Rattus norvegicus: one gene and its partner. The protein of the gene in region 1 purifies or fractionates together with the protein of each later gene. This does not show direct contact. Links are inferred from orthologs where the notes say so. Each region holds a gene or a part of one and is shown on either strand. Other genes may lie near its edges.

Region 1 (3,565 bases):
CAGATCTTTACTGTCTGTGAGTTCCTGACAGAGAATCTCATGAGGTGGATGGTCAGGGTCTGAGGGAAACCAGTCAGCTTCTGAGCCTGAAGAGGCAAAGTCAGAATGAAGATGAAGTCTATGGGCACCTGAGACGGGCAGGTTCAGAGCAGGGTCAAGGGTGGCGATGTGCTCTTTCCCATAAGGGAAGTGCAGAGCGCCTTCAAGAGTCATGTGACTGAGTGTCACTCACCACACGTCTCCAGAAGGCCTCTGCTCAGGTTCAGGAACCGTGGGATGTATTCTAGGCAACTCACCCAGGAGGAAAAACTCTACCTACTGTCCTCAAACCTTCTCTTCTTGTTTCTACAAAGTTCTTCCTGTCCCTCTCAATGATATGGTCTGAGATGCCAAGTCTGAAGTTATACAAATAAGAAGCCCCAGGACTCCAGGTACCCAGATTCCCTAGGTCAGCCATTATGAAATGCCCTTGACTGGTCTGCAAAGACTTGTCAGGAAACCATGGGTCAATCCAGACCAGGGAAGAGTCTGGGTTTAAGGAGTACCTGTTTGCAAGGCGTCTTCTTCCCGCAGGTCTCACAGAAGCACTTGTCTGAGCTTGCTAACTCTTTGGGCTGGAAGAAACATCTCAAGGCATCCTCCTGCCCCAACCAAGAGAACAAGCAAAAGGTAGCATCATTGTTTCCCATCTCAAAGACAGCCCTCCCCCACTGCTAGTGGAAGCCCAGGCTACCCTTTAATCCCCACTCCCCCCAAGTGGGCACATGTGTTACACTGGGCAGAATTTCAGAAAGTGCCCACTGGAGGGAGGAACAAAACTGGAGGGGACTTGCCAGAGGAAGAGCATGAGGAAAGCAGAAGGGGACAGAAAAAAGTACCCTCGCCCAAGTCAAGGGAGAGATTGGCCCAGGGTCTACAAGTAGAGAACAGGAACTGGTTCTCTAGTTCCCATCTTCCACCCTGTGGGACCCAGGGATCGAACTCGGGCCGTAACTCTTAGCACCAAGCACCTTTACACGCTGCACCATCTTGCTGGCCCAGGAGTTACTTCTTTAAAAATCCAAGGGCAAGTCATAGAGGCAAGGGTCAACTCAGGATACACAACAATGAGTCACCAACAATGAGTCTCTCACCAGTGTTTTTAGGGGCTTTGAATCCATATCAAAAAGAGGAAGAGAGAGAGTGAGCAACTTGCCCCTCCTGCTGCTCTCTGCTCCACAGCCCACGCACATCAGGGACTCCTCGGTCCAGATTGTGAACAGATCCTGCAGCCGCTCTGCCTGCAAGTAGAGAGCCGGGATAGGTAAGATGACCTAGAAGTCACTTTAGCTCAGGGAACGTGGTTTTTTTCAGACAGAAGTTCTAGAAACAGCCGATACAAAATTTTGCTTCCGGGCCCATAAAGGTGCACGCCAGGGAGCTATGCCAAGCAGTGGCGCATTCCTCGCTAATAGCGCACACAGTAGTGGAGCAGGTTCCACCAGGAACATCTCTGACTTCTCCGGATCCCAGCCCTTACCAAGTCTATGTCCGTGATCTGGTCCTTAGTCAGGTTCCAGATTGTAAGGAAGAGATGAGCAGCATCGTGCTGGACAAACACTGGTCGGGGGGGAAGCGCAATTAGTAAGGAGACATGTCCGTGCCCTTGCCGAGCCACCAGGATACCAGCCTCGTGATCGCTCAGCACTTTGTCCTCACCTAGCTTTCCCTCATTTTCAAAAAGACCAAATGAAAACTAAGCTTTCGATTCTTTTTTTAAGAGTTTCTCTTAGAGCTAAGGTCACAGTGCCACCACTTCCTCTCACCATCCTCTGTCAGCGAACCCGCAGATCCCAACTATTTTCTCTCTGGTTGGTTTGTTTGTTTGTTTGTTTGTGTTTGTTTGTTTGTTTGTTTGTTTCCTGAGCAGAGACTACGTCTGAACTCTTCTGCCCCCTGGTGGCAATTTTTGTTTACGTCACTAAAAGCAGGGCCTCTTGCTAATCTGACCAGGTTTCCCCAAAGGTGACTGAGTAAACAGAGCAAAGAGAAAAGGGTAATACCCATGTTGGATGATCCTAGCCAAGACCAGCAGGAACTTTGCAGGGTAACTATCTGTTATCCTATATAAGGAGGCCTGAAATCGGGAATGGACACAACTGACTTTAATGGTGTTGGTCCAAAGAAGTGGGAAGTAAGAAAATCACATCCCTGCCAGAATGCATAGACATTTCAAGCCAAGGCAGTTTCTCAGATCATGCCGAATCTTCCACAAAGGCACTAATGACTTCCCTTCATGATACACATCACAGCACAGACTTGATGCTCTTTGTTCTCCTTTGATTTTTGACCTGTCCTGCTTCTAAAATGTTAGTTCCCTGGAGGCAATGTCTCTCTGATTCCTGTTGCCTTACGCACATCAAATCTACAATGATTGATGTGAATATATTAATTGAATCGAATACATTATTTCATCGATATAATGAATCCCAACTCAAAAACAGTCTATCAGACAACTCAGAAAAAGTCTATCAGATGGTTTAAACTGATTTAGCCAGGGAATTATGCGCAGAAGGCTTCCTGACACAGAGCTAACACTGATGTAAAGAAAATTAGATATGGGTGCTGAGATGGCCAGTTTTGTCTTGTTTTGTTAGATTTATTTATTGATTTTATGTGTATAGATGTTCCGCCCATATGTATGTATGTATGTGTACCGTGTGCATGACTAGTGCCCTTGGAGGTCATAAGAGGGCATCTGATCCCCTGAAACCGGAGTCACAAATGGTTGTGAGCCACCATGGGGGTGAGGGGTCCACACCTCGGTCCTCTGCAAGAGCAACAGGTGCTCTCAACAACTCTGAAGTTTCTGGGACATCAGTTTTTTTGGGGGTTTTTTTTTGGTTTTTTTTTGTTGTTGTTGTTTTTTTCTTTTTTCTTTTTTTCGGAGCTGGGGACCGAACCCAGGGCCTTGCGCTTGCTAGGCAAGCACTCTACCACTGAGCTAAATCCCCAACCCCGGGACATCAGTTTTAATTGTCAACTTGACACAATCAAAAAACACCTGGAAAGAGGGCCTCAGTCAAGGACTGTCTCGAATGCGTTGGTCTGTGAACATATCTGCAGGGGTTGCTCTGACTGTTTTAATTGCTATGGGAAGACCCAGCTCGACCTGTGCTGCACTGTTCTTGGGCTTGGTCCTGGACCATATAAACAAAGAGAATAAGCCAAGCATGAGAAGCCTGTCTGCATTCATTTTCTCTGAGCTTGGCTGTGGGTGTGATTGGCCCAGCTGTTTCAAGTTCCTGCCGGCCATTCCAACGTCCCTGCTATGACAGACTGTACCCTAGATTTGTGAGCTAAGACAAACCCTTTCTTCCCCAAGTTGCTTTTCTTCAGGGTATTTTATCGCGGTGACAGAAATGGAAGTTGGACGGCCACCATCTGCAGTGGTTATTTTTAACCTCACCGGGGCTCCCAGAGCCAAGAGTCCCCAGTCATCTACAAAGTGCAAAGTTGGAATCTTTTTAAGAATCATGAAAAACTCTGTTCTCTAGTGTCTCCAAAGGAGCACAATAACTTTCTA
Region 2 (3,565 bases), on another chromosome or scaffold:
TGGTAGAGCACTTACCTAGGAAGCGCAAGGCCCTGGGTTTGGTCCCCAGCTCCGAAAAAAAGAACCAAAAAAAAAAAAAAAAAAAAAAAAGAAGGCCCGGCTACTTGGGTTGTGTCCCTGGAACCCATATAAAGATGTCAGTAGAGAACCCCACAAAGTTCTCCTCTGAGCTCTATACACACCACACACACACACACACACACACAGACACACACAGACACACACACACACACACACACACACACACACGCACACGCGCACACACACACGCGCGCACGCGCGCTCTCCCCATCATACAGACACACAGTAGTAGACAGTAGACAATTTAAAGAAATGGTGTCTGGGGCTGGGGATTTAGCTCAGTGGTAGAGCGCTTACCTAGGAAGCGCAAGGCCCTGGGTTCGGTCCCCAGCTCCGAAAAAAAGAACCAAAAAAAAAAAGAAATGGTGTCTGGAGAGATGGCTCAGCGCTGACTGCTCTGCAAGAGGATCTGGGTTCAAATCCCAGCACCCACATGGTGGCTCACAATGGTCTCTAATACCATCACACAGACACACACACATGCAGGCAAAACCTCACCTGCAAATAAAAATAAATCATTAAGGAGCATTTTAATGCACATTTTATAATATTCCACTTATTCTCTTAAGGATTTATTTTATTAAGTGGGTGTGGTAGCCCATGCCTTTAATCCCAACACTGGGAAGACAGAGGCTGGAGAAATGGTCAGTTCAAAGCCAGCCTGGTCAACACAGTGAGTTCCAGGGTATCCAAAGCCACATAGTGAGACATCGTCTCAAAAGCAAACAAAACAGGGTAGACCGGATTAACCCAGTACTTTCCTTTGCTTCTTTACCAAAGCAAAGACTGGACCAGGACTCTCTGAGTGGCGAGGACAGCGTACAGCAGAGTATATAGTCACAGTCAAACCAGAGAAGCGGCAGAAGACACGGAGGCATCATTGGCTGTTGTTTCCCTGTCCCTTCCTGCCTCTCTGTTCTCCTTCTGTGCTGACATCAGACCCAGGACTTGGGAGTGCAGAGGAGCACTCTCCCACTGAGCTCCACTGTCCTCCATTCACTGCACCAGCCCCCGAGGTTCTTACCACTGTTCCAGCTGATCCAGCTGCAGCTCGGGTGCTGGGGCTCCAATGCAGGACTTCTGCTGCTGAGCCTTCCACTCATCCAGCTTTGGCAGCAACAGGTCGACCAGGGTGGTTAATCGTCCAACCAGGGCTTTGGAGATGTCCAGCACCTCCTAGGAAGGAGAACTCATGAGTGCTAAGTACCTCTCACCACCCCCATCCAGCCGATGAAGAGAACAGGAAACTAAGATGGTGAGGCCATAGCCCCCTGATCCCCTCCCCCAGTTCTCTGCTGCCCCCAAACCCGCTCTGCTGCCCCCCAGTTCCCTGATACCCCCTGAACCCCCTCTGCTGCCCCCTCAACCCCCTCTGCTGCCCCTTCTGTGCCCAGCCCCCACCTTTCTCATTCTGTCCAGTTCATTGGCTGTTGTCTGCACAAGCTGCCGCTGTTGGCTCTGATGGGGGTCCAAAGACGATGTCTTCTCTGAAAGGCAAGACCAAAACTCAGACCACATGTTCCTTCTGCTCTTTTCTGTCCAGGGTCTCAGTCAAAAACTGAAAATGCTGGATGGGGAGGAAGGGAGTACCAGAGAAAGTACAGACACCTGGAGTCCCACAGGCAAATTCTGGATGGACCAGAAGCCCATTCAACCTGCTAAGGCAGTTTACTACACAATCCCTCTACCATTTGCGAACTATTCCTCAATCACATCTCTAGTCTGCCCTCCACAACACACCCCACACCTCTGCCTTACATATCGATGGGACTACTGACGCTGACATAAGGGGCCCTAGGTGACCACTGCTCAATGGAGCACCCAGCCTCTGCTGTCCTTCCCACTGGCCCCTAAGACGGCCCCTTGAGTGGACCTACTGTGATTGAGAACTGTGTATCTGAAGCTGAAGACATCCTGCACATCCTTCAGCTGCCTGATGGATCTCACCAGCGCCTGTGGAGGAGATGGGACCCCAGTGAGGCTTTTCTGAGGGCAGAAAAGCTTCGATCTCCACTCCACACCCAACACTTGCCACAGCCACCAACCTCCACAGCAGTCTGTAAATCCAGGATTCTTGTTTCAATCTCAAGCTGCTGCTGGCTCTCCCCTGCCGCTTCAGGGGCTGGCCTGGGCTGCATCTGAAGTAAGAGGTTCTGAACATGTTTGAACTCTGACTGGTTTGTTTGTTTAAGACAGAGTTTCTTTCTCTGTGTAGCCATGGCTGTTCTGGAACTCATGACATATAACAAGCTGGGTTCAAACTCACAGAGATCCACCTGCCTCTGTGACTCAAATTAAAGCTGTGGGACCCAAATGCTGGGATTAATGGTATGGGTCACACACCCCACTCCCACCTGAACTCTTGAGTTTTCATCCCTAATATCAGGACCTGAAATTTTACTGCAGAGTGTGGGGGAGAGCCTGGTCTGAGAGGAGTTCCCTGAGTCTCTGCCAGGTGCCTTGCTGTCCCAGGGGCTTTCTTGCTTGCTTTCTTTTTTTAAGATTTTATTTATTTGTTTTTTTGTTGTTGTTGTTTTGTTTTTTCATTTGACTACACTGTAGCTGTCTTCAGACACACCAGAAGAGGGCATCAGATCCCACTGTGGTTGAACTCAGGAAGAGCAGTCAGCACTCTTAACCACTAAGCCATCTCTCAGTACCACACTGTTCTTACCTCTTGAGCTCTTTGGGCCTGATTCAGAATCCTTTTCTCTTCCAGGAGAAGATTGAAGATCATCTCAGCCAACTGGGTAGGGCCATTGGGAAACATCTAAGTAGAAAAAAAAACAGAAGCACGGTCCCATTTAACTACCTTAATGACCGCCCAGTCCAGACCCTGCCTTCAGTGTCTCCAGTATTTTTCTCCTTCATAGACCCTGAATCTAGATTCAGTCCATTACTCTGCCAGTGACACCCCATGTCCAGACTCTGTCTCCCAGCTCTTACTCTAGACTCAAAGGCTAGTCCCACACTCTTATTCCCAGCTCTTCCAAGTACCTGAATGTCCCGATTGAATTTTCGCAAGTTATGCTGTAATAAAAGGTAGTCGGAGTCCAAGCTGTAGTGGTCCCACTGGTTCAGCTGGTCCAGGATGTTGAAGTATAGCATGTTGGCCTTGGAATGATCACTGCCTAGTACAGCTTCCCTCCTGGGGACCGACACAACAAGGGCTCCATAAACAACCTGCTGCTCTGCGATCGCCCAGGACATCTCGAGGATGGACCCTGTGTGCTCAGAAGGAGCCACCTGAACCCCCAAGTCCTCACCAGTTCTGGTCTTCAATCCAGGCAGCCAAGTGCTGTCGGACGTCCATTGGCAGGAGGCTTTGTGAGTAGAGCTCATGCAACTGGTCCAGAAATGGACTGTCAAGGTTCTGCAACATCTCCCACTGCGCCATTTGGACTCTGAATGGGAAAGACATCCGTTCTCTGCTGGATATTCTATTGGACCAAATCATTCATAGTCTCTTGGCTTATTTACTTAC

What was found. Proteins that work in one complex are often made in the same cells at the same time.
Region 2: the proteins of Usp18 (region 1) and Stat2 purify together in Homo sapiens (affinity purification with western blotting; 6 studies listed by BioGRID and IntAct, with this or other methods). This does not show direct contact. The link is inferred for Rattus norvegicus from reciprocal best matches to the Homo sapiens genes USP18 and STAT2.

Annotation. Positions count from the first base shown.
Region 1 is NC_086022.1:156,153,820-156,157,384, reverse strand, and holds part of Usp18 (ubl carboxyl-terminal hydrolase 18), read right to left. Parts: intron 1,600-3,565; coding exon 1,520-1,599; intron 1,281-1,519; coding exon 1,134-1,280; intron 642-1,133; coding exon 546-641; intron 87-545; coding exon 1-86. UniProt on the Homo sapiens protein: Interferon-induced ISG15-specific protease that plays a crucial role for maintaining a proper balance of ISG15-conjugated proteins in cells. Regulates protein ISGylation by efficiently cleaving ISG15 conjugates linked via isopeptide bonds.
Region 2 is NC_086025.1:1,290,059-1,293,623, reverse strand, and holds part of Stat2 (signal transducer and activator of transcription 2), read right to left. Parts: intron 3,486-3,565; 5' UTR 3,479-3,485; coding exon 3,348-3,478; intron 3,230-3,347; coding exon 3,079-3,229; intron 2,852-3,078; coding exon 2,756-2,851; intron 2,235-2,755; coding exon of another isoform or gene 2,220-2,234; coding exon 2,127-2,219; intron 2,035-2,126; coding exon 1,959-2,034; intron 1,569-1,958; coding exon 1,483-1,568; intron 1,258-1,482; coding exon 1,106-1,257; intron 1-1,105. UniProt on the Homo sapiens protein: Signal transducer and activator of transcription that mediates signaling by type I interferons (IFN-alpha and IFN-beta).